3 linked regions of the Ovis aries genome follow. The protein of the gene in region 2 purifies or fractionates together with the protein of the main gene of each other region. This does not show direct contact. Links are inferred from orthologs where the notes say so. Each region holds a gene or a part of one and is shown on either strand. Other genes may lie near its edges.

Evidence for each region. The genes of interacting proteins can lie anywhere in the genome.
Region 1: the proteins of CASP8 (region 2) and NLRC4 purify together in Homo sapiens (affinity purification with western blotting; 3 studies listed by BioGRID and IntAct, with this or other methods). This does not show direct contact. The link is inferred for Ovis aries from reciprocal best matches to the Homo sapiens genes CASP8 and NLRC4.
Region 3: the proteins of CASP8 (region 2) and FASLG purify together in Homo sapiens (co-immunoprecipitation; 8 studies listed by BioGRID and IntAct, with this or other methods). This does not show direct contact. The link is inferred for Ovis aries from reciprocal best matches to the Homo sapiens genes CASP8 and FASLG.

What each region holds. Positions count from the first base shown.
Region 1 is NC_056056.1:91,647,055-91,655,133, reverse strand, and holds part of NLRC4 (NLR family CARD domain-containing protein 4), read right to left. Parts: exon of another isoform or gene 7,878-8,079; intron 7,142-7,877; 5' UTR 7,017-7,141; coding exon 7,016-7,016; intron 5,162-7,015; coding exon 4,901-5,161; intron 4,603-4,900; exon of another isoform or gene 4,503-4,602; intron 4,017-4,502; exon of another isoform or gene 4,003-4,016; coding exon 2,008-4,002; intron 1-2,007.
Region 2 is NC_056055.1:203,613,176-203,622,054, reverse strand, and holds the start of CASP8 (caspase-8), read right to left. Parts: upstream 4,989-8,879; 5' UTR 4,793-4,988; exon of another isoform or gene 3,432-4,792; intron 2,952-3,431; exon of another isoform or gene 2,908-2,951; intron 2,501-2,907; exon of another isoform or gene 2,407-2,500; intron 2,345-2,406; exon of another isoform or gene 2,282-2,344; intron 1-2,281. UniProt on the Homo sapiens protein: Thiol protease that plays a key role in programmed cell death by acting as a molecular switch for apoptosis, necroptosis and pyroptosis, and is required to prevent tissue damage during embryonic development and adulthood.
Region 3 is NC_056065.1:39,437,171-39,445,249, reverse strand, and holds the end of FASLG (tumor necrosis factor ligand superfamily member 6), read right to left. Parts: intron 6,869-8,079; coding exon 6,812-6,868; intron 5,581-6,811; coding exon 5,186-5,580; 3' UTR 2,202-5,185; downstream 1-2,201. UniProt on the Homo sapiens protein: Cytokine that binds to TNFRSF6/FAS, a receptor that transduces the apoptotic signal into cells. Involved in cytotoxic T-cell-mediated apoptosis, natural killer cell-mediated apoptosis and in T-cell development.

The DNA of each region.
Region 1 (8,079 bases), on a different chromosome or scaffold from region 2:
AATCACTTATCTGACAAAAGACTTGTATCCAGAATGTATTTAAAAAAACACTTAAAACTCAACACTAAGAAAACAAATTAACCCAATTAAGAATGGGGAAAAACTTGAACAGACATTTCACTAAGTTGGCAAATAAGTACATGAAAAATTTTCAACTTTTATCAGCCAACTCTGATGAGATAACATGATGCATAGAGTTCTAGTTTCTCCATATCCTCACCAGCACTTGGTATTGTTGTTTCCTTTATTATTATTATTATAAAATGAAAAAAAAAAGAGACAAATAGGAAGACTACTAAGTGCTAGTGAGAATGCAGAACAACTGAAATTCTCATGTATTGCTACTGAGAATGTAAAAGGTACACAGTGGAAGATAGCTGGGAAGTTTATTCAAAAGTTAAACAAGCACTTGTCACATGGTTCAGCAGTTCCAGCACTAAATATTTACCCAAGTGAATTGAAAACTTATTTTTACATACAAGTTTGCATAATAATGTTTATAGTAGCTTTACTTATAATTGCCCAAGCTGAAAATAACCTACATGCCCTTCAGTAGTGACTAGATCCTAGCTGTAAGAAAAAATAAATGCTGATTATAAACTCAAATGTCAGAGAGGGTGAGAGAGATGATGTTATTACAAGAAGTAGAACAGGTGACCTCTGTGTCTTACTGAAGATTATGTGTCTTGTCCAAAGAGCATAGGGTCAGATCATGAAGCTCTAGCCAGCTGTTACCAAGTGCAGTTGTCAAGTCTGTAATTTTCAAGAGCAATGAGACCTGTATTTTCATATGACATCTCCCAACTTCAAAATGGTGACAGCTCCTTCAAGGAAAAGAATCATTGTGAGGGGAGAGGGAAAGGAAGGAGACTTTTCATTATAGATTGTTTTATAATTTGGACCATGTGAATACCTTACTCAAAAAATAAATTTAAGATATTAAGAACAAAATATTGGCCAACAGGAAAAAAGAAATTTTTAATAATATGTAGATCAAATTCAGCCTGTAAGTGACCAGTTTGCCAAATTGGCACAAAAGAATTGCCATCAAGAGGAGACGGTAAGCCTGCTAGCACAGAAGGTAGTTTAATAGTCTGAGTAACTATCCAGAACCTGATAGAAGGGATTCTTGCATTGAGTAGAAGGTTGGAAAGCTTATCCCCTACATGGTGACAAGTGAGGCAGAACCAAAAGGGAAATCATTTGCGGATGAAAACCAATCTCAGATTACAGTCTCATAAAGCAAGGCTCCTGTCGACCCATAACTACACAGAACTCAGCAGCCCCTGCTCTGGTTAACAGGAGGGATCTAGACAGATGCGGCTGGTCTACACAGGTGACCCTCACCCTTAGTGTTATTTTGAATTTGGTGAAAACTCCCCTTTACCCAGAAAGATTTACCCCATATGTATTGTGTCTGTTGTCTCTAATTTCTTCATGTTAGACAAAACCTGTTCCCCAAATTTTCTTTCAGAATGAATGATGCTTGAGGTAGAGGTGGGACTGGGTGTGTGCTGCAATGTCCTAGTTAAGAGTCTAGTGACATGACTGGCCAGCAGCTTCTGCAGGCGATCAATTAATGGGTGGTTTTCCTCCCAGACTTCAAAGAAGGACAGGTGCTACTTGGTAGGAAAGCAGTGAGTGTTGGGTTGAGACAGAGATGCTGACAAGATGGAGGGTTCACAGAAAACAAGCTTAACCTACTGTACACATACACATGCACACACACACCTACATACACACACACTCACACACCACCATACACACTACCACATAGCTATGCAGTCAGACTATAGGGCTTCAGTTCTGGGAATCCACCCTAGGGCCTCCCAACATGACAGACTTCCCCCAGCAAGGAACTCTCTCCCAAGCCCTCCCACTTCCCTTCTAGGTCCTAACTCCTGGTAGAAACTATTGGAAAATTTCAGGCAAAACAAATGATAGCTAATATTTCTGCAGTAAATAACCAGGTTGGATTATAGCTTAAACTGCTGGTGTTCATGATACCTGGCAACCGTTGAATCTGTAGGTCATGAACACCCAAGGTCTGCAGGTTTGTCACAGATGTGATATGCTGCTCGTCTTCGAGGGTGAGGGGACTGGCTTCCACTATGAGGGCATGAATTTTCGTACAGGTGCTGAGGACTGAACTGAGGCTTCCAGCCATTCCGACACATCTCTTAATGTGCAACCTGAGGCTTGTAGCTGAACTGAATATTTTCTCCAGATATTTGACATCTTTCTTACTCAACTTGCAGAAATCCCGGAGTGTGACTTCCAAGGTCTTAAACTCCTGCTTCCCGTTGAAGAACAAAGACACAGCCCTGCTGGGAATGTAGGTTCCTGAGAACTCTTGATCCTGGGTCCTGCCTATGTCTTCTGTGGTCTTGTCCCACGAAGCCACAGTCCCCCCATAGAAGTCCAGTTTAACGAAGTCCAGAGCACTTGCACAGTTAGGCAAGTCTTCAAAGAAGTCAAATAAGTAGTCAGGGATATTCTCTGAGTTGATATATAAGCTTTTACCGCGAAAGAAAGCTTCAAATTCATTGCTCAGGCTAGACGTGGATATACTCTCATGGAATAAGTTGATTCCACACTCTGTAAAGGAATTGATGTTTATGGCTTTCTGAATTTCTTGCACAGTGGTGCTTTTCATATTTTGCATAGATTCCTGCCTCCAGAGAGGCCTCTTGGTGACAGAAAGTCCCAAGAGACTGCCATGTTCATACACTGATGACAAGTGTCTCAGAACAGTCCGGGTGGCTTCAGCAGATGAGCCGCATGTGTACAGAAGCAAGTTGCTGTACTTGGATGTAATGTCTGAAATGGAAACCATTTTCTGCAGGTGACCATTCCCCTTGGTCACTTCTGCTGGTTCTCCAGATGTCAGTAAACTGCTGAGTCTGCGTCCTGCTGTGTACTCCTGGAATGACTGATGAAAGAACTTATACTTTGGCTTGAACCGTTGCGCTGTGTATTTACAGAGGAGTCCTGTTGTCAGCAGGACATCCTCGTTCACATTGGACAAGTCATCTGGTTCGAAATCAAACCTGCGGGAGAACACACCCTCCAGAGCTAGGTCTCCACAGTGGTCCAAGCTCTGAGTGACTTCACTAGGAGCCAGCCCTTTACGTTTGTGCCTGTTTTTATTTATTAGCAGATCATAGAAGGCACAGAACAGCGTGGTTTGTGTGTGAGAGTGGAACTCACTTTTCCCCATCTGAATTGCACAAGTGATGACCACAAAGAGAGGGGTCTTCATTAGATTCCTCAGGCACCTGGATTTCTGAATTTGGAGCAACAAGCCTTCAGCGAACTCCTTTCTCAGCACCTCCTGAATGAGAGCCTGGGCACTGCTCTCAGTCATATCCCCCACCTCGGCAATCAGTGCCCCAAACTGCCGGATGTGCCTCAGGCTCTCCGTGGTGGTGGTGACGATAACCATATTCTTGAAGCGGTGGTTTTCCTTTATCAGGGCTTCAATTTCTGGGCAGTTCTGGGCCTTGAATTCATTGTAGCCATCAAGGAGAAAAAGAACCCTCTGCCGTAACTTCAGCAGCGTGGCCATGAAAGTCTGCTTACTGATCACATCAGGTATATCCAGGAGTTGGTCAGACAGGGTTTTGAAGAGTCCACCCTGGGCCCTGCTCAGACGAAGAAAGAAGACTAATTTGAACTTGGCGAGAGCCTGGCACTCTCCGGAGGCCCAGAGCATGGCGATTCGCTGCAGCAGAGTGGACTTCCCTTTGCCTGATTCCCCTTCAATGATGCAGGGGCTCTGAAGAGTGTCCAGCAGGCCACTCAGGGTCAGCTGTTCCAGGCGGTGATGGTGTTGGTCCTTCTTCCATAGCACTGGTTCTGTGAAGGTGCTTTTCAAATTAAACATGATGTCAATATCTTCACCCAGGGGATAGAAGTTGAGAAAAGATGGGCTCTCATAGAAGTACTTTAATTCCTGAGCCAAATCATCTAAATCGTCTTCTGACATCTGATGAAAAAGACCTGTTAGAGAAGAGGTGAGTTAAAAAGGACCCAGTTCTGTGTGTCCGCAGAACTTAGCGTTCAGGAGGAGGAAGGAAGGGGTGGTGCTGAGAATCTGACTTTAATTTCCTTCCCCAGTTCTGGAATGGCAGAAAGGGTTCCAGATATTTACTCCTGCTTTTCTGTGTTGGCCTTTACCCCCATTCCCCTTCTGTTTCTTCATTTCCAACACCAAACTTTGTAGCAGCTGATTGGAAAGGAGAGGAGCCAGTGTTTGGTATAAGGAATGTACATGAGACTAGTGGGGAAATGGCTTAGAATGATGGTCTGGTGACACTCAGCAAATCAAGAGTTAACCTTGATTAATATTTCATGAAAAGCAGAATCATGCTTCTTTAGTCAGTCAGGCTCTCTTTAGAGTGGAGCTTGGATCAGAGTAGGTAGTCACGGGGCCGCTTGTCCAAAGACGGTCCTCGTCAGATTGAGGAATGTTGAAAACTGCACTGACTTCTCTTTTTTAGGGGTGTGGGCACTTGGCATGACGGATCTTAGTTCCCTGACCAGGGACTGAACCTGTGCCCCCTGCAGTGCAGTGTGGAGTCTTAACCACTGAACTGCCAGGTGAGTCCCTGCTTTGACTACTTAAGTACCTTCATTATCCAATTTGATTCTGAAGTCAGACTATGCTAAATCATTTATTCCCTGACCTCGGAGTTTCTTATTTGGCTTCACCATCAAGTAATCTAGTGGGAGTGTTTTTCTCTTTCCTGAGAGTGTCTGAGCTTTTCCTGAATGTGACCAAAGCTCACAGCCCAGGAATATGAAAAGGGAGGAGAGCAGAGGCTCTGTCATGAGGATTATGGATCTTCTTCGTGGTTTATTCTCTTTGTAGAACATATAAAAGCAAACTGATACTTACTTAGTCCATGCAGTTCCTGAAACAGAGGATAGTTCCACTTTTCAAGGGATTTAAGAAAGAGGTTACAGGCTTCTGAACCCTTCTTCAAAATCATGTGAATGATCCCTCTTGCAGCGTCCTGCTCAAACCTCTCGCCAAGAATGACACTTACTTCTTCGTAATTCATGACATTCCATACAAATAGCTCATCCAAAATTTGCTTTATCACAGTCATTCCCATCCTTCGAATGAGAACTTGACTGTTCTCCTTTATGAAGTTCACTGAGAAAGTGAGGGGAAATATACATATTTATTCATTTGTACAAAATATGTATACTAGCATCATGTTGCCAGAGCATTAGGTTCATTCGTCCCCCACCACCACCTCCTTTGGACCTATCTTGAATTATGGGAATACCGAATGCTTGAATTCCAGGCCTTCAAGCAGAGCTCTGTAAAGCCCTTCATTCCTAACATCAGAGTCCTTGGTGAACAAGATGTTTTATTCTCTGATAACAAAGTAAAGTGAGTAATCTTGTCCTCACTGTACAAGAGTAAGGTCAGAGGGGCGAGATGTTGGGCTTTCAAACAAGGAGACTGGCATACAATCTGCCAGTTGCTACCATCTGTGTAACCTTGAAAAAGTGAAAGTGTTAGTTGCTCAGTCAAGTCTGACTCTTTGTGACCTCATGGACAGTAGCCCTCCAGGCTCCTCTGTTCATGGAATTCTCCAGGCAAGAATACTGGAGTGGGTTGCCATTTCCTTCTCCAGGGAATCTTCCCAACCCAGGGATCAAACCCAGGTTTCCTGCATTGGCAGACAGATTCTTTACCATCTGAGCCAACAGGGAAGCCTTGCCAAGTTGCTAAGCCTCTCTGAACCTGTTTCAGTGCTGCACTGCCAACCATTGAAAACATTGCCTCTCTGAGGGAAAAGGCCCAAATTCATAGCACATACCAATGTGCACATTATATTTCCACTGTGGCCAATTTCAAGCTAACAATGTATGTCAGCTGGCTAGCATAAAGCATAAACATTTACCAATCAGGTCTCATAAAACAGTAAGAACCAGCTCCAGTATACCATTGGTTCCTTATCTGTACAATGGAGTTGAGAAGTTACTTATGAAGTTGTAGTGAGAATTCATGTGTAGTATTTCATAGAAAGTAATAGCTCAATAAATGTTAGCTACTATTGTTAGCCATTATTCTGTTGCCACCACTCAAAGGAGTAGCACATTTTATCTGAGGTGAAATTTGGTGTTTTCTGAAGAGTATCACTGCAAAACTCTCATCTCCCATGGTGAGGTTCCCTGGAAAAGCTGTCTCATGTCTGACTTGCCAAGATCTAACTCTCCGAGGCAGTCTCTGCCAGCTCTGAGAAATGTCTCTCTGGTGTCGTACTCTTAGACATTTGTCTGCATTACTTTTCTCCCGGGCTAGGCTGCTCCTGCTTTTCAAATCTTTCTTGACAAATCCAAGTGGATATCTGCTCCCAAAGACCCCACGGCCTCTTTGATCTGAACTGCATCATCAGGTGCTCAGACCTCCAGAGTCCCATCCAAGGTCCCCCTTGTCTCTGTCGCTGATCCCTACTGCTAACCTCAGCTGGAATGTCACCATGTTTTCTGAGATGGTACACATGTTCTATATTCGTACTGTCTAGCAGTGGAGCCATTAGTCATATGTGGCTACTGAGCAGTTGAAGTATGGCTTGTGTGACAGTGTGACTGAATTTTAAATTTTATTTAATTTTTGTTTATTTAAATTCACATCTTAAATAGACACACATGGCTACTTGCTGCTAACTGCATTGGACAGCATACTCTAGACATGGTCATCAAGGTGGAAAGAGTTACGTTTTGGTTGCCACTTAGATCTACACAATGATCGCGCAGGTGATGGCAGGGGACCAATATTTTAAAACCATCACTCTTTGTGGCTTATCTGTGGTTCTGCCATTTATCCCAGGCCACCGTATTTATAACTGAATTCTCCAAATCACAAAAGAATATATGATGGGAATTCCATATATAACTGATCGAAGGAAGGCATAAATTGATTTTTCTATTCAATACCACCCATATATGAAAGCATACTATGTAATCAGGCAGATTTGATTTCTAGTATACTTACTTTTTCTGAAAAAAAACTTCCCAGCTTTTTGTATCTAAAAGACAATATTATTTCCAAATGGAGAAATCAAATGTGACTCCAATATTATCCTCTTCTTTCTGTAAAATGGCTCCTCATTCTGTAAAACTAACAAGACAGAAGCTATCAGGAAGCAACCATTGTCACTTTCCCTTTTTTTTTCCACACCAAGAAGAACACAGATTACGTAATGTTTGACATCTGTTTTGTTTATTTACTGAAGTTTTTGAGACCTTTCTGTACCAGCTAAATATTAAACTGCTTCATTTTTTTTTAAAGATTTTTGATGTGGACCATTTTTGTAGTCTTCACTGAGTTTGTTACAACATTGTTCCTGTTTTATGTTTTGGTTCTTTGGCCAGGAGGCATATGGGGTCTTAGCTCCCTGACCAGGGATTGAGCCCACACTCCCTGCACTGGAAGGCAAAGTCTTAACCACTGGATCACCAGGGGCGTCCCCAAACTGCCTCATTTTAAAAATCAGTCTCATTGACGTGTACTTCACATGCAATAAAATACAAGGAACTTTCACAAATGTACACACCGAAGTTAATTTTACCCGTCAAGATTTAGAAAATTCCCATCAGTGCAGAAAGTTCCCTTGTGCCTCTTTATAGTCCCCATCAAAGCAACCACTGATCTGATTTCTTTAACTATAAGTTGCTTTTGCCTGTTCTAGCACGTCTGTGTGCGTGTGTGTGTGTGTGTGTGTGTGTGTGTGTGTGTAGTGGGAATTCCTAATAATGTACTTTCACAGCCTTGAGAAATTTCACAGAAATAGCACCTGGAAAAACAGCATATGTTAAGAAACTGTGTTAATGATTATCTTACATGTTTTTCTTAGAATAATCGCCTGTTACAAACCCCAAGACCAGACTCAGAAGGGAGTATGACTGGGATCGTGAAAGCATGGACCTTGGACACTGGGTCAGCGTCAGGCATGAACGCCGCCTACACACTTGCTAATTGTTCCCAAGACTAGCTGAGAAGGGGTGAAGCAAGGAGATCTGGACTATGTCAGTGTAGTGTCGTGAGAAAGATAAGAT
Region 2 (8,879 bases):
AGTAGGGAAAGTACTGGTGAGGCTTCTTTCCTGACCCAGGTTTTCCAAAACACATTGTGGTATAATATTGTCTTTGTTTAGGTCACCCATCTCTCTGCTCGTAGTACCTGGGAAGCACTATTACCTGCTCCAGATTTTATACCATTAACCACGGACCACCTCTAGATTAAGATCTGTAGGAAGAGGAACTAAAAGGCACTTTTTTTTTTTATGGGACCTGGCTTTATTGCATGAGCTCATAAGCCAGAAACTTTATTAGAGTAATATTTTAAAAAGAATAGTCATTGCTCTATTTTTCTCATCCTAAAGTAGTAAAAGTAACACTTTTTCCTTAGAGAACTTTTAAAAGAAAAATACCACTTGGAAAAATTTAGAAGTAATTTTGGGGTCACATTTGTGGGTTCTTTCCCAATTTTATTCACATATATGCATATATAATGTATGCATATACATATGTAGAATATATCAATTTGAATATATTGATTTATATTGCATGCAAGATAGAGGAGAGGGGTGGGAATGGAAAGGCCTTCAGAAGTTTTCTTTTACTTTCAATTATACAATATCTAAGCAATAAGCCCACATACATATATTTGTATTATATGATATGTAACTATATCTATTATTTTTATAATGTGTGCCCCAAAGTATTTTTATATAGCCAAATATTTGTATTATGATATGTAAATGTTTATAACATATAACGATATAAACATAAAAATATTTTTCTTGTCTCATTTACTGCAATCCTCTCTAGAAATTGCTATTATCGTCTTCACTTTATTACCATGAAAAATCAGTTCAGAAATAAACTAGTGAGAGGTATCAGGCCCAGATTAGAGCATCTCAAGAGGCTTAGTGACAGACCCTGCAAAGATTTAGATTTTATTCTAATTGCAGTTGGAAGCCAGTGAAGAAATTTAATAAAGACACATAATCAAAATATTTTTAAAGATTATGAATTACTTAAAATTTTAAAAGACTAAGTGAAGTGAAGTGAAAGTCACTCAGTCATGTCTAACTCTTTGTGAACCCATGGACTATACAGTCTTTAGAATTCTTAAAGAAACCCCCCAAAGAAACAACAAACAAAAATTCTTAACAAATCCACTAAAGCAGAGAGAAGATCAGAACCTTACAACCAAGCTGGTATGCGCTGGAGCCTGGATTTAAACCTCAGCACCTCATCCCAGAGTCCCGAATTAGCACTGCCTGTTACACCACAATTAAATTGCAAATAAATCTCATCTAATCACAAACAATCCTTCTAACAATATTCTAGCAGCATCTTAGCTCTCTCAGTCTAATGAAAAACTACCTCAAAGCTGGAGAAAATAAACCCAAAATTTGTATTCCTCTTCTGAGACAAAAATATGTGTCTCATTCACAGCTTAAGAGTACTGGAAAGTTAGTCTCAGGCCTGAAAGCCCTAGGTAATAGGATGGCCATTCCCTCCAGTCCAGGAGGATCACTCCGAATTGGGGTTCCCATTCCGAATCAGGATTCCCACTCCAAATTGGGATTCACCCAGAACCTGCCAGAGACCCACACAAGCACTGTTCACTGCAGGGCCCCAGCCAGCACTATCACACAGCCCAGAAAAGGTATCCACATTCCAGCCAAATTAAAAACCTACCAAACTGAACGAAGGTATAACTTCACCTGTAAATGCTTAATCTCACACTTCCAAACCAATGCTGGAATGAAATTCATAATTCCACCTATGAATGGTTAACTCCACAAATACTGATTATCAATCTATTGCCATTATATTACTCCCTGTACTGTTCTTTACCCTTTTAATCCCCCCACCCCCATCCCGCAAAGATAAATAAATAAACAATTGAGTGTTTAGCACTGTGTGTGTGTGTTTCTATGTGTGTCTGTTTAGGTGTGTGTGTGTTTATGTTGGTGGTCTGTGGGTCGACAGACGGGTAGCTACAGCAGCAAAGTCAGTTGAGATTTGAATTTTGGTTTCTATTCTTCGATAAGTCTGGCTGGCATAAGGGTGAGGCCTCTGTAAAGATGAATATATTTGGAGTATTCCCCCTCTAAAACTCAGGAATGCATCATCTACCAAAGCTGGAGGGGCACGGACATCTGGGATCTCTGAACCCTCACCACGGCCTTCAGAGGCACGGCTAACTCTCCCAGTTTCTTCATCTACACTCAAATACTAGGATTACCCTATGGGCCCTTGAACCTGCCAGATCCCATTCTCAGTAGCCTAGAGAGTTCTAGATTCAAAGGCCTTCCTCTCCAAAGTCCCATCAGATCTTACCAGAGGCGAATCCTGGAACCTTCACAGCAGCAGCCACTTCACGGGCCTCTTCTCTCAGTACATCTAAGACAGGAATTAGAGTCAAATGAAGAACCAACAACGTAGCTCGCTTACTTCCTGTTTTCAAAACTCCTGAGTCACCATAGGCTGAGTGAGGCAGGCCAGCCTCCAGGCAGCACCCGCATCCTCATCTCCAAGAAGGAGCCCGTGGAATAAGAGGTAGGTGCTGGATGGGGACGCTGGCCATCTGAGACTTGCCTCTGGCTATGTGACTTTGGGCAGGTCATTTTCTCTTCGGGGCTTCTGTACCACATTCCAAAAGGAAAAAGGAACTGAATGATAGCTAAGAACCCTTTCTTTTCCTTTTCAGAAATATACAGATTTTTATGGGTTCATTATTAAGACTTCAATGGTTTCCTTCAATAATACTCATTGAGCACTCCTGAGTGGTCTTGAGTTCTGGAACTATGGGCCCTCACTATGGTTCAGAGGGTCTACTGACCCCCACAGAAATTCTCATGGTTTCCCCCACCTACATTCATATACAAGATCTCACCCTCAGCAGTCTAGGTCTAGAAAACTCTAGAATCATATTGTTTCCTCCCAAAAGGCCCAGCCAAACTCACCAAAGGAAAAATAAAATCCCAGGGCCCTCACCATGGACTGGGACCTGGAGATAAAACAGAGAACAAAACTCACTTTAGCCCTGCCTTTTGGCTCTCATCAGTTGTTTTCTGATGATTAAAGTAGAGGAAAAAAAAAAAAAAAAACCTCTCTTCTTTGAAACTACATGTTCTCTTTCCCCAAATGGAGTATTAGCTTTCAGAGGGCAAATTTCACAGCCGAGAGGATTAACAAGATAGCTGAAAATGCCCCTCCACCTGCAGAGAGCTAGGTAAGGGTTCTGTGTTCCTTTTGTGCCCTTAACTTCCCTTGACTCTGCCCTGAGAACTCCGAGTGAGAAGGCAGCCACAGAATGAAAACCTGTTAGTGGCTAAATCCTATCCCAGGAAGTGCCCCCTTGCTCTTTTCTTGCAGCCTCCTAAATACATCCACCCAATATCTGTCCTGCTGTTTTATGGCTGGTTCCTATCCTAGGCTGTGATCTTCACAAAGGCAGGGACCACATCTTTCATGTCCATGTTTCCAGTTTGTGCCACAGGAGTAGAAATACCTCGAATATACAAAGGTCTCCTGCAGATCAACAAGGAAAAGAAACCCTGACGAAAGACAATGGATCTGACTATAGAGTTCCTTGACAGAGATACTCAGATGGCCAAAGTGTGCGAATGATACTCAAATTCATGACTAAGCTGGGGAATACAACGCAGGTATGAGCTACCTACTTTGTACCTATCAGAATGGCAAAGGTTTGCAAGCTGGAGCCAGCCAAGTTCTTGGTGGGCCAGTTCTTCTATAGCCCTTATATAAGTTGTAGAGACTGTCCGTCATGGAATAATAAGCAGCGGTTACAAAGTGGGAGCAGGCAAAACACATAGAACTTAAAGTACAGAGTGCTTACTTGCAAAAAATAAAAAATAAAAAGTCAAAAACAGAACAAGCAAATTACAATATGAATACTAATACATAACATGTAATAATAATTGCTAACACTTACTGGGTACAGAGCAACACCAGTCACTAAGTGGCTAAAGCTGTTATTATCAAATAAATCCTCACAGCTACCTGTTGAGGGAGTGTTAATCCCACTAATGATGAGGAAACAGAGGTACAGAGAAATTATTTTCTTGCTCTGGTCACAGAGTTTAAGACACAGTGTACACACACAAAACAATGGTACATTTCACAAAGATACAGAACAATTAAGGATATGTATCATAAGATGCGGAGGGTTGTCTTTGGGAGCCGGCTTCTCGGGTGGCTCAGTGGAAAAGAATCCAAGTGCCAATGCAGGAAAAGCAGTTTCGATCCCTGGATTGCAAAGATCCCCGGGAGACAGGAGTGGCAACCCATTCCAATATGTTTGCCTGGAAAATCCCATGGGCAGAGAAGCCTGGCGGGTACAGATTCTAGGGTTGCAAAGAGTCAGACATGACTGAGCGACTAGCAAACACACACACTTTGGGAGCCAGCGAGGAGGATAGGAGATAGGTTGGGGAGTGGGGAGATCCAAGAAAATGGATAAAGCAGGGCAGGGTCGGGGGGCCCATGGGTCCCCAAGACCAAGGGTTTATAGGGAATCGGGATCTGATTGAGTGATCAACTCAACCCTCTGCCCCAGGACAAGTGGTATAGAAAATAAACATAAAAAGGTAAATAAAGTCTTCTGGGAAATCTAAAGTAAACCAGCAGGAGACAGTGTACCTATACTCGAGGCAGCAGAGGAACTGGCGCGTCCTCAGATTAAAAAGTAGCAAAGCCAGGGGCTGTGGTTCAGATAGGAACCCACTCAGAACCTGGCACTCTGGCAGGACTGGGAGGTGACTTCCCCGGGAAGTCCTCGAGTGAGAAAGGCGGCATCCAGAAGCCAACTGGGCACCAGGCACTCACCTGCTCCACACAGTCCTGGCAACATCCCAGCCACCAAACTCTCGACGACAAGACCCCACACTGCCTAACTTCACACTTCGTATTACTGAGGCTCGTTCTTAAAACCCAGCTGGAGATAAATCCCTGGAAATGAGGCAAGCGGGAGGGGGAGACAGGAGGTGGGGTTGGAAACGCCTCCAGGAAGAAGTTTACTTTTACTTTCGATGCCTCCACCAGGCTTTTATGCCTGCCCCTGGAAGACTCACTTCCTGGTTCTCTCCTCTCTACGTTCAGAATTTGCTACCAAATTCCGCAGGGCTTTAAAAAATCTTGAGATAAAAGAAAGAGAACCTGTGAAACCATTGCCTTCCAGCAGAAGGGCAAACTCTGGTCTTCAGGAAGAGAGAAAGAAAATTCCTGAAGAGAGAGAACTAGAAAATAAACTTGATTTGGAAAGCTGGAAAACTGAGGTGACTCACTTGAACAGAAAATGTTTCTTATTTAAAGGAACCGAAGCCCAATTTCCCTACATTCAGAAGTGACCACAGACATGCAACTAAACTGCATGTCAACATGCAAACTAAAAACCAGGAAGCTGGACGTGTTTTATTGGAAAGCATTTTACTCACTGCATTTAGTGTTTATCAGCTCTCTAATTTTTAAAGAGACTTGAGACTGCCTGTGGCCAGTAAAATGTCATTCTCGCTTGAAAGGGGTCTGCAGAGAAAAATGCTTCCTCTGTTCTGTGGCCTGAATCTTAGCACTGCAGCCGTGGACAAGCTCCCCAGATCATCTGGCAAGAACTCTTCCTGGGTCCAAACAGATCTCTAGCTGAGTTGTGAGGAAATTCAGCACCAAAAGGGGGTGAGGTCCTGCCCAGCCCTAAGCAGGGGTAACCATCCTTGTCCAGTGCTGAGCCCCTGGTGGGGAGGGGAGTGTTGGGGGGAGGGGACAGTGATGTGAAGACCTCTCCTCTGGGAGTCTGAACCTCCCCAGCTTTTCTTCATCCTCCACCCTCTCCCCACCCTCTGCCTCTGTTAACTGTTTGAATTTTTTAAAGAGTTTTCTGCCTTTTTGTTTTCACATCTTCTAGATTTTAAAACTACGACACCAATAATAATGCAATATCTGTACGTTGCACCTTTACATCAATTATTTCTCATTCTCCCAACAATGTAGAGGATCCCGCATGTCATGGAGGAGGAAGCGGAGGCTCAAATGAATATATGAATTCGAACTCAGTCCAGCTGGATCCAAAACAAGGATTTTTCCACCATAACACACTATTCCCTCCCCCAAAAGTTAGGATTTGAAATGAACCATGTGGATGGAAGAGTGCTAAATTTAAACTCACATGATGACCTATGTGCAGAGGTCAGAAGGTCACCTAAGAAAAAGGAGGCGGCCTACAGGCACCAGCTAACAGCATAAAAATTCTGTGTGTGCCACATGTATAACCACCCAAACTGGTTCATTTCACTTTCTGAGTAATTCGCAGAAGTGGATGCTATTTTTGCTCTCATTTGAGCAAGGAAGCTGAGGTTTGGAGAGGTGAAAGACTTAGACAAATATCTTCAGCTAGTGAGTGGCAGGATGAAGTTTTTGTGCCTCTCTAAAACCCTGAAAGGTTAATCAGTGTCTGAACATTAGTACACACCCATGGCTCTCAACTTGATTGATCTGAGGGTTAACTGATTAGGTTTCTAAATTGCCAGTCTTCAGGCCCCAGCTCTGAAATTGCTATCTGAGCAGAATTACAGGAGATAAAACAGATTGAGCACTTAACGGAATGCCTGGACCTCCCACAGTTCTTGGTAAGTAATCAGTACCACTGTTACATAAGCTCACATCTGTACAATGGCTATGAATTACTAGACATATAGTGCAGTTGAGGAAGCTAAGTTCAGTGTCGATCAACTGACAAACTGCATGGCCAGCACATGATCCCAAGATTGTCGCACTTGAGCGTTTACCCCCGTCCCCCAATCCCTGGCTTGGAGGAAATGGATGAGCCACCACAGGCATCTACGGAGCAGTACTGAAGATGAGTGGGGAGGTTCAGGGCTTCAGCCTGTCATTTGCAAGGCACTGATCCTGTGCTCTCTTAGTCTTAAATCTGTTTTTAAAAGGAAAACCTATAAGGACTTCCCTTGCAGTCCCGTGGATAAGACTTCCTGCTTCGAATGTAGGAGGCACAGCTTTGATCCATGTCAGAGAACTTAAGATCCCACATACCTTGGAACATGGTCAGAAAAACTAAAATAAAATATTTTCTTTAATGAATAAAAGAGGACAAATAATTAACAAGTAAATTGTAACCCTCAAGTTGGTTAAATTCCTTTTGTGATTTACTTGCTCTAACCAGGTTCTTAAAACTCAACATTCAGAAAATTAAGATCATGGCATCTGGTCCCATCACTTCATGGCAAATAGATGGGGAAAGAGTGAGAGACTTTATTTGGGGGGGCTCCAAAATCACTGCAGATGGTGACTGCAGCTGTGAAATTAAAAGACGCTTACTCCTTGGAAGAAAAGCTATGACCAATCTAGATAGCATATTCCAAACCAGAGACATTACTTTGCCAACAAACGTCTGTCTAGTCAGAGCTAAGGCTTTTCCAGTGGTCATGTATGGATGTGAGAGATGGACTATAAAGAAAGCTGAGCGCAGAAGAATTGATGCTTTTGAACTGTGGTGTTGGAGAAGACTCTTGAGAGTCCCTTGGACTGCAAGGAGATCCAATCAGTCCATCCTAAAGGAAATCAGTCCTGAATATTCATTGGAAGGACCGATGCTGAAGCTGAAACTCCAATACTCTGGCCACTTAATGTGAAGAACAGACTCATCGGAAAAGACCCTGATGCTGAGAAAGATTGAAGGTGGGAGAAGGGGACAACAGAGGATGAGATGGTTGGATGGCACCATCGACTCCATGGACATGAGTTTGAGTAAGCTCCAAGAGTTGGTGATGGACAGGGAAGCCTGGTGTGCTGTAGTCCATGGGGTCACAAAGAGTTGGACATGGCTGAGTGACTGAGAGACTGAGCTGAATTCAACCAGTTTTCTTGTTTCCACCTTGAGCTATGTGTCTGCGTGATTTTAACATCAAAATGAACAGTGTACTTGGTTGTTATTCCTGAGGAAGCTGGAAAGGCTGGATGTGTTGCAGTTCAGCATGACATGGCGGAGCTGTTCCCTGCCCAGGACAGGCAGAGGACCGCCTAGTTTGACTTAAAAGCCAAGAGGTTTCCACTTTCCTGAATCACAGCTCCTATTGATGGCCTGCTCCAGAGACTTCTGGCTACTAACCAGCAAAAAACAGACTTGAACCTGAAAGTTTCTGTAAGAAAGCTAGGAATGACTAACCCTCCTGTTCACCAACTGCAGTACACTGATCTGGACTAACCTCAGGACATTAGTCAAGGACAAATACTGACAGTGAAACAAAAATCCCCTGAACAAGCATCTTCTGTGGTCGGTTACTTCTCTATTGAGTTATGTACAACTGATCCACAGGCCAGGTGGCTGCAGGCCAGGTAGTCTGCTGTGTGGATTCAACAGGGCCCCTCCTGCCCCTTTCTCAAGTTGGCCTTGGCTCTGGCCCTAGAGTCTTGAAGAGAGTGGTGGAGGGAAAAAAAGATTGCATTCCAAGCCAGCTGTTTCACCTCCTCCAGGCCGTGCAGGGAAAGACTCAGCCAATTCTCTAATAAAAGTTTTTAATGGCTGGGGTTTTATTAATAAGTTTTCGATTTTCGTTTTGGTACTGAAATGACTAGACAGTCATGAGCAGGTAGAAGAGTTTACATCAACTGGCCCTGAAGTGTCTATTGCAAAATTTACTGAGTGATGGTATTTGCCCCCTCTACTTCCACAAAGGTAACTACTGCAAACCGGAACCCATCCCACTGATCTAGAAAGGAAGAAATTGAAATAATTATTGGGCTGCGATGCCAATATTCATGTTGCCAACTTAGTTTTTTAAATTTTCTTGAAGATATGAGTGCAGTCAAGGTGAAAGTCCTTCAAGTTCCTGCTTCACCCTATGCCCATCCCCAGGAACCATTTTTTGGGAACCATTCTTTTGGTATCTCTTGTTATTGTCCAGTC
Region 3 (8,079 bases), on a different chromosome or scaffold from region 2:
CCTGCTGTTAATGTCATGTGGACTGCTCAAAAAATGGAGGTCTTTCCTGAAATTTTCAGAAAACTTAGGACAACTTTTAGAACAGAAGACAACTTTCAACAGAATGTGATTGAGGTTCATGTCATTCTACTGAGAAAGAGAAGAAAGGATGACCCCATAGAGGTGAAGGGGTCTCCGAGGAAGAGAAGAGACATGCCCAGTGCACTTTTCTCGAAAGATGTACCAGGTAGAACAGTGAAGAAATGTCTCCCAGCAAAGGGAAAACTAGCGACAGCAAGAAAGTTGTCATTGAGGTGATGCTTTTCTTCCCTCTGGGTAAACCGTAAGGAGCAAAATACCCACTTAGCTGTCTGTATTTCCAAGGCTGGTGGTTTCTAGATGAATCTCAAAGATTCCTGGCTACTATCAGTAGTTATATTATTTCTGAATAAGGTCCATTTTTGAGTCTGAAGGCCCTAAGGAATGGGCTTTAATTCAGCTTTCCTAGGACTACCTCATTCTGCCTCTGGATGATTCAAACCCCTGGAAAAGAAACACACAAATACGTACACACAAAGAGAAAGTAAAAAATCGTCTCTACTAACATCAGAACTTAACCAAACTCCTTTGAAAAAATGTAATTTAACATACAATTTAACAGCACTCTTCCTTAAATAAGGACCAAGAAATGTCTAAGGCTTAACTTCCTTAAGGAAATCTTACAGCCTGGCTTTGAGGAGGCAGCTTCTCTAAGCAATTCAATGTCTTCCAATGATCTGTTGTTTCAAGTTAGTCATTCTCACAGTGATGGTCCCAGTAAAGCCTTTTTTTCTGAAAAGCTGTGGTAAGTCAAAACCTACTTCAGAGGATACAAAGTTACCACTCTAGGGGGCTAAGGGAAAAAAAAACATGGTTTTCTATGGTTTTAGTTCTTTGAAAAGAAAGAAAACCTCAAACTACTGAACCAGAGGTGACTTTTTTTTTTTTTTTAATAAGTGTTCTACTTTGGGTTTATCATTTCATAAGGGAACAATGGCTGACTCTATTTTTGTTGAGCACATTCAAAAAGTTTTAGGGTTTTGACATCCCTTGTATTCCTGCTTACAGAAAAATAGCTAAGGAAACTGTTAATACCTCTTCCCTGAAATGAAATAGTAAGTTACAAACTTGTCTTCAGAAAATCCTGAAGGCATCCTAGCAGAGCAGACTCAGATGCATAAAAGGACCAGTAGTACCACCACTAGCTAATGGCATCAAGTCTCCTCCGGATGCCCAGCACCGTTCCTATTTCCTCTTTGCTCTAACCCCATTCTCTAGAAGGTCCCATTGACCCCTCAAAATGGTCCAGCCAACTTCCCATGACCATTAGAACCAGTTTACTTCAATGGATGAAGCCATATGAAGAAGAAACTGATGAGGAAAATGTCATTGTGAGGGTTGGGAGTACAGACAATCAGCCGAAAGAAGGGTGAATACCTCTCTGACTTTCTCCAAGAGGTACCTGGTCAGAAACCTGACCATATAAAGCAGATTAATCAACAGAAGAGTTTTAAGGAAATCAGGTGGCATACTCCAACCTGCACCTTTGGTTTTGTTCATTAATTTATTCAACAAATACGTATTGAAAAAGTGAAAGTATTAATTGCTCAGTCATGTCCAATCATTTGGGACCCTATGGTCTATAGCCTGCCAGGCTCCTCTGTCCACGGAATTTCCTAGGTGAGAATACTGGAGTGAGTTGCCATTCCCTTCTCCAGGGGATCTTTCCAACCCAGGGATCGAACTCAGGACTCCTGCACTGCAGGCAGATTCCTTACTGTCTGAGCTACCAGGGAAGAGAAATATGTATTGAGTATCTTCTAAATGACAGTTTCAGCTCTAATTACCTAGAATTTTTCCTCCACATTCTCCCAAAAGCTCCTGGTAATTCCAAGGACCAATTAGATCTTTCTTGTTTTCTAATTCCATGAATTAGGATGCACAATTTTTTTTTCATCTGTAGCCTCAAACTCTCATTGGATAATCTAGTCAAAGATGGATAAACATGCACACACATCCATGAGGCAACACAGCTATGGATTCACTACTCTGAAAAACATATCCACTGAAAGGCTTTTGCCTTATGACTAAAGTTATTTAGTCAATGAATATTTATTGAGCACCTAATATGTGCTGGCACTGAGGTAATCTGGAATACAAAGGCAAACACAACAGAAAAGGTCTTGCTTTCAGAACTTTTATTCTAACAGGAAAAAAAAAAAGAAAAAACCAGATTTTTTAAGTGGTCAAATAAATAACCTAGCCAGATTCCTGGCTGAAAAAAAAAAAAAATGGAGCTCATGTGTGTGGAAAAAGCCTTCTCAGATGTTTGTCTCTACCAGAAAAATGAGAAATGAAGGGGAAGGTTAAAGAAAGGTTTGGGTTGATTTGTGGTTTGATTTGTCTTTTAGTGAAAGGAAATACTTGAGTATATATGTATTACATGCTAGTGGGCATTATTTCATAGACAGCTAGTTTGAAGATCCAGAAGAAAGAAGAAAAATTGTAAACAGGTAAAGCAGGGAAGAGGAAAGGAGTCTAGCGCACAAATAGATGGTCCTCGTCCTCCTCCGTACTGGATGGAAGAAAGAGATCATTCAGACGCAGGCGGGTTTGTGTTTCAGTGGTAGAAGTGAGATTCCATGGTGGGAGGAGGGGATGTGGTTGGTTTACAAGAGGAAAAGACATGATGTAATTGTCTCAAACAGTGAAAAAAAAATGCCCATGAAGAAACTGAAGAAAAAGTGGTGGGCCTTTGAATGCTGATTTGAAATCTCTGATCACTAATAAAAAGCAGTGGTTCTCAACCAGGAGGGACTTTGTCTCCTCACTCCCAGCCTGGGGACATTTGACTTCATTTGGTGATATTTTTGGTTATCACACATGGCGGGAGGGGAATGCTACTGGTATCCAGTGGGTAGAAGGCAGGGATACTGCTAAACATACTACAATGTGCAGGCAGGACAACCCTCACAAGAAAGAATCAGCCAGCTCAGAATGTCAACAGAACCGAGCTTGGGAAACCCTGACATAAAGTGATGTCATATTTATGTATAGACCATCTCGCAAAAGTTACATAAGGAGACAGTGCTGTTCCTTATGGGCAGAGGTGGAGCCACAGGACAGGATGAGAAGAGGACTTGCTTTCATCCTATGTTTTCGCATACCTTTTACAATTTGTACTATGTGTAGGTATTACCTATTCAAATCAATCAAAAGACAGAAATAATTCACTGATAGATAAATAATTCATTGGTTGATTTAAGCAGATGCTAGATAAAAATAAAATGAAACTAATCAATCAGTTTGAGTTATTTTTCTCCAGCAACATCCAGCTGCTAGGATGCCAGCTTAAAGAAAATGAGATTTTCCAAGAGGAAAATAGTGACTGTAACCAAGTATTTTGGAGTTCAAGGTCTTTCCAAGGTACTGATTGTAATGACAGATCATGGAATCTAAGTTGAATAGAGAAAAGAGTGAAGATAAAGAAGGAGCTGATAGATAAGCAAGAAAATGATACTATTTATTAACTGAATGTCAAATATGGAAAAATATATATTTTAAGAGAGAAGATGTTGGACCAAATTGAGTTGGAATTATAGGAGATTGTGTTGTGAAAATAAGGTGCTGAAGTCAAATTCTAACAGAAGTGTTATTTTTAACAGTGACAAAGTATAAGGAGAAGTCATAGTAATGAGCATTTGGACAAAATAGGAAAAGGTCATTGTGACTGACCAAGGTGAGGAGGCAAGAAACAGGTGTTTGGATGGATCTCTCAGATTTGTAGCTTCTTCTGGAATGAAGTACCTCCCCTTATTAATAATGGCAGATACTATTTTTGACATTCTACTATGTATTAGATACTTTATGTATCACCCCCCTTTTGTCCAAAAAAGGTCAAGTGACCTGCATAGTTATCAAGTAGAGGAACAAAGATTCAAATTCAGGTTTTTAGGCCCAAGTCTATGCCCTTTCCATCGTGCATGTCTCTGCCACCAGGAAAAGACAAACTGTCATCAAATCTATGGGAAATAGGTGAGCTTAACACTGGCAATAATATTGGTAATAGAAACTCTAGGTAGTAGAAGCAAGAAGGGAAAGAGAATATAGTAAGGAGAGGAGAGCCTGGCAAAGATGCAAAGGTCTGCCTCATAACTCTTCTCACACTAGTAAATTCTTCTTCAAGTGGGCTTAAATCATAATGAGTGAGGAAGCCATGGAGAAAAGAAATAATAAGGAAAAGATACAAACCTCAGTGATTTCCAAATAGAACACTCACAATGCCTACCTATATTATAAAATATAGTTTTTGTTATGGGTATTCTTTTCATTAAAAATGTACAAAATACATATAAATATAGTTATATTATGGAAAAATGGCATTAACAACTGACAATCAAAGAGCTTTGAGGACTATTAGAGTTGGTTACCAAAAAGCATTCAAAATCTACCACCAAATGCAGCCCATATTCTAATATGCCCTTCCCAATTCCCACGTTCTCTCTACTTATGTAACCCTCTAGTCACATACTCACACACACACACACACACACACACACACACACCCCTACAATTGCACTGGAAATATGCATGTTGTATAGGGAGTGTTTTGAGTTCCCAAAGATTTCTTTTGCTTCTCTGTTAACATCACCTGATGGCTCAGACTGTACATCTAGAAATAAAGATGCTACCAGTGGGATGCTGGCCTTTCAGTCTCTTTAGCTTATCATGCAAGCCTGGTCCTCTTTTCCCATCCCTTATACATTCATGTCACACCCATATACATGAAAGACAGCCTCCTCTGAGGTAGACAGTAGACCCACCCCAAGAGGTGAGTTAAAAGGTGCCATTTTCAATGTGTCCAAATGCACTAGGCCACTTAAGACAAGTGTAGTTGCTGGCATAAGCAACTGGTAGTCACTTTTCCCTGCCTTTGCGTCTCCACATGGCAGCCCAGAGTTTCATGTTCGTTACTCATAGTCCTCCTCCTGTCTGGCTGTGGGCCTTTAAGGAACTGTGGACCTGCTGGACTCCGTGGTCTCAAGATTCTCTTGGTTCATGTCTTCTCTCATGGCCTCAAGTGGACTTAAGAAAACTCTCATTCAAGACAATATTCTCAGGGCCTGAAACAGGGAATCATACTGGAGAGAATCCCAAAGTGCTTTGCTTAGAGTTTATATAAGCCAAAAAATGTCTTAGATTCCTCAAAACTGACCAGAGAGAGTTCAGACACATTGACATATAAATGATCAGCACTGGTGAGATTGAATACAGCCCCCAGGTAGCTGCTGCGGGCCCACATCTTGCCAGGAGTGCAGTAGTTCATCATCTTCCCCTCCATCAGCACCATGTCCTGGGGGTACCTAAAGTTCCTGGAGTAGACCTTGTGGCTCAGGGGCTGGTTGTTGCAGGACTGACCCCGGAAGTACACTTTGGAATACACAAAATACAGCCCAGTTTCATTGATCACAAGGCTGCCCTTCTTGTACTTCACCCCAGAGACCAGGGCAATTCCATAGGTGTCTTCCCATTCCAAAGGGATGGATCTTGAGTTGGGCTTGCCTGAAATCAAACGAGAGAGGAGCTTTCAGCCAGGAATGCTCATGTATCCCACAGACCAAGCTTTCAAGGCAAAACTGTGGACCATTCCTTGAGCAAGTGCTTTTTCCCCAAATGACATAGAACTGGGTGATGGGTCAGGCCTGACCTATTACTGAACTTCTTCAGCACGTTTATCAAATTGACTCCCTCAATTTTATCATCCACACAACTGGGACAATAACATATGTTTCTAACCAACTGCACTGAGAAAAGACTAGGATGATTTTAGCTCTCTGGAACAGAGATTCTATGAACAGAGGTTCAGAACTAGCATACAAATTGCTAGAGTTTGAGTCTCTTTGTGAGAGGAGAAGTCAAATCCAAGGCACTCTGAAGTTCTAAAGTTGGAAAAGACCTTAGGAATCATCTAGTCCAACTCTTTACCTACACGAAAGATTCTTCAGTGTGGGCAAGAATCCCCTTTCCTTTGTATCTGTACAGCATGGTGTACATACCTACTTCAAGCAGAGAATGCTGGAAATATTGCTTTCATACCTGTCTTTCCCTATTAGATTGTAAGCTCCTTGAAGGCAGGAGCCATGTGTGATTCACCTCCACGTGGCCCAGGTTCGGCACACAGCACATGCTCAAGAAATATCTGTTGATCTAAACTGGGTCATTTTACAGCCTCTGCTGACATAGTTTCAGGGACAGCAGCATGCCAGTTTCTGTGATACTCATCCACTTTGCAGATGTTGTGGACTTCACACTGACAGTGCCCCCACTGTCTTGCTATCAAATCATGTCACTCCACTGCACGACCATGTGTGCCAGGGCCTGGCCTCCCCTCTCCTATTTCTGCTCATGGACAGAGAAAAACTCTCCCAGAAAACCAAGGCAAAAAAATAATTCACTGTTCACCATCTCCCCAGCTCTTACCTCTTGGACCTATGCCCCAAATTCCCTAAGGGTCCTTGGAGTGAGTGAAGAGAGTGAGTTCCTTATGAGCAGGGATCATGTCATAAGCACCTCCATTTCGCCAGCTTAGAGCAGGGCCTTGCCTAGAGCCGCCCTGTGTGTGTGTGTGTGTGTGCATGTGTGTGGTGTTGGCGTGACTAGAAAGATGTGACTACTCGGGTTTCAAATACTGTCACTGGAAAGTATCAGCTCCCTCAGAGCTCAGTCACAGAAACCAACCAGCTACTCTGCTTTCTGCCAAAGGCTTTCCCAAGATGGCCCTCCAGATACAGACCTGTTAAATGAGCCGCTTTTTTCAGTTCCTTTTTCTCAGAGGGTGGACTGGGGTGACCTGTATTACAGAGAGATGAAGGATACATGTCAAAGTGACATAACTACTATTCTTTTTTGTGGGACTCTAAACAGGGCATTTAAATAAAAGATACTTTTTATAAGCATAAATGGCAACAGTCTAACATACACTAATCACTCAAGTCCAAACTATAGGACTTACAGCAGCCTATATTTCAGAAACAGAGAGGTAAAAAGGAGTCAAATTAAGACAGACATGCATAAATTATAAATTACAAAGCAATATAAAGGTTGGTTTATAAAGACCTGCCATATAAGTTACTGCATTTATAACTCCCAACAATCCTTTGAGGTAGAGATTACTGTCCCATCTTACAGATGGCAAAATGAGCTTGAAAGCTGGGTGACTTGTCCAAGAAGATCCGCTAACTCAGTGTCAGAGTGGGACCAACACTCAGGTCTCCTGAGTCTAAATCCAGGGCCCTTGCATCTCTGGCTCTGCTGCCCTCAGGACTACAGGACAAGAGTTGAAGAAGACTGCGAATGTCCAGGCCACCAGGTCTTCCCCAGTGGCATTCTACAGTTGGCCCCAGATTAATTACTCTAAGGTCTCAAACACCTCGAATGACTCCTCATTAAACATGTAATTGCACATGCGTGTTCCCCACCACATGCCCTCTGCTCATCTGTCCAGCCTCCTCTGGCTTACTCACCCACACTGGATGCTGCCACACTAGAGTTCTGAGCACACCCAGCCTCCCTGCCTCTGTGCTTTAGTCCGTGCTGTTCTTCCTGCCTGGAATGCCCTCCCAAACTGATCTCTGTGTCAAATTCCTATCGACACTACGAACACCATCTAAAATATCTCTTTTCTTGGAAAACCTTCCCAAGCCTTTCTAATTGAATATGATTCTTTCCTCCACTCAAACCTGGAAGCACTCTGGCGTCACCCTATTTTGTTGGTTCTGACTCGCCTTCTTTTTAATGGTAACTGTATGACTAGTCTTACTCCTCCAAATAAATGGCAAATTCCTTACTATATGTTTAATCTATCAGAGTAATTAGCTCAGTTTCTAACCCAGGGCATGCTATCAGTACATGTTCACTAAATTAAACTGATAGATTTAAAATAGACAACAGTTCTCAAAATAGATACTATTTCTCTGACTTGAGATATTTCAGTGGAATAGCACTACCATTTGGCTAATAAATTCAGCTAACTTAGACTTTGAATAAAAGTTGCATAGACGA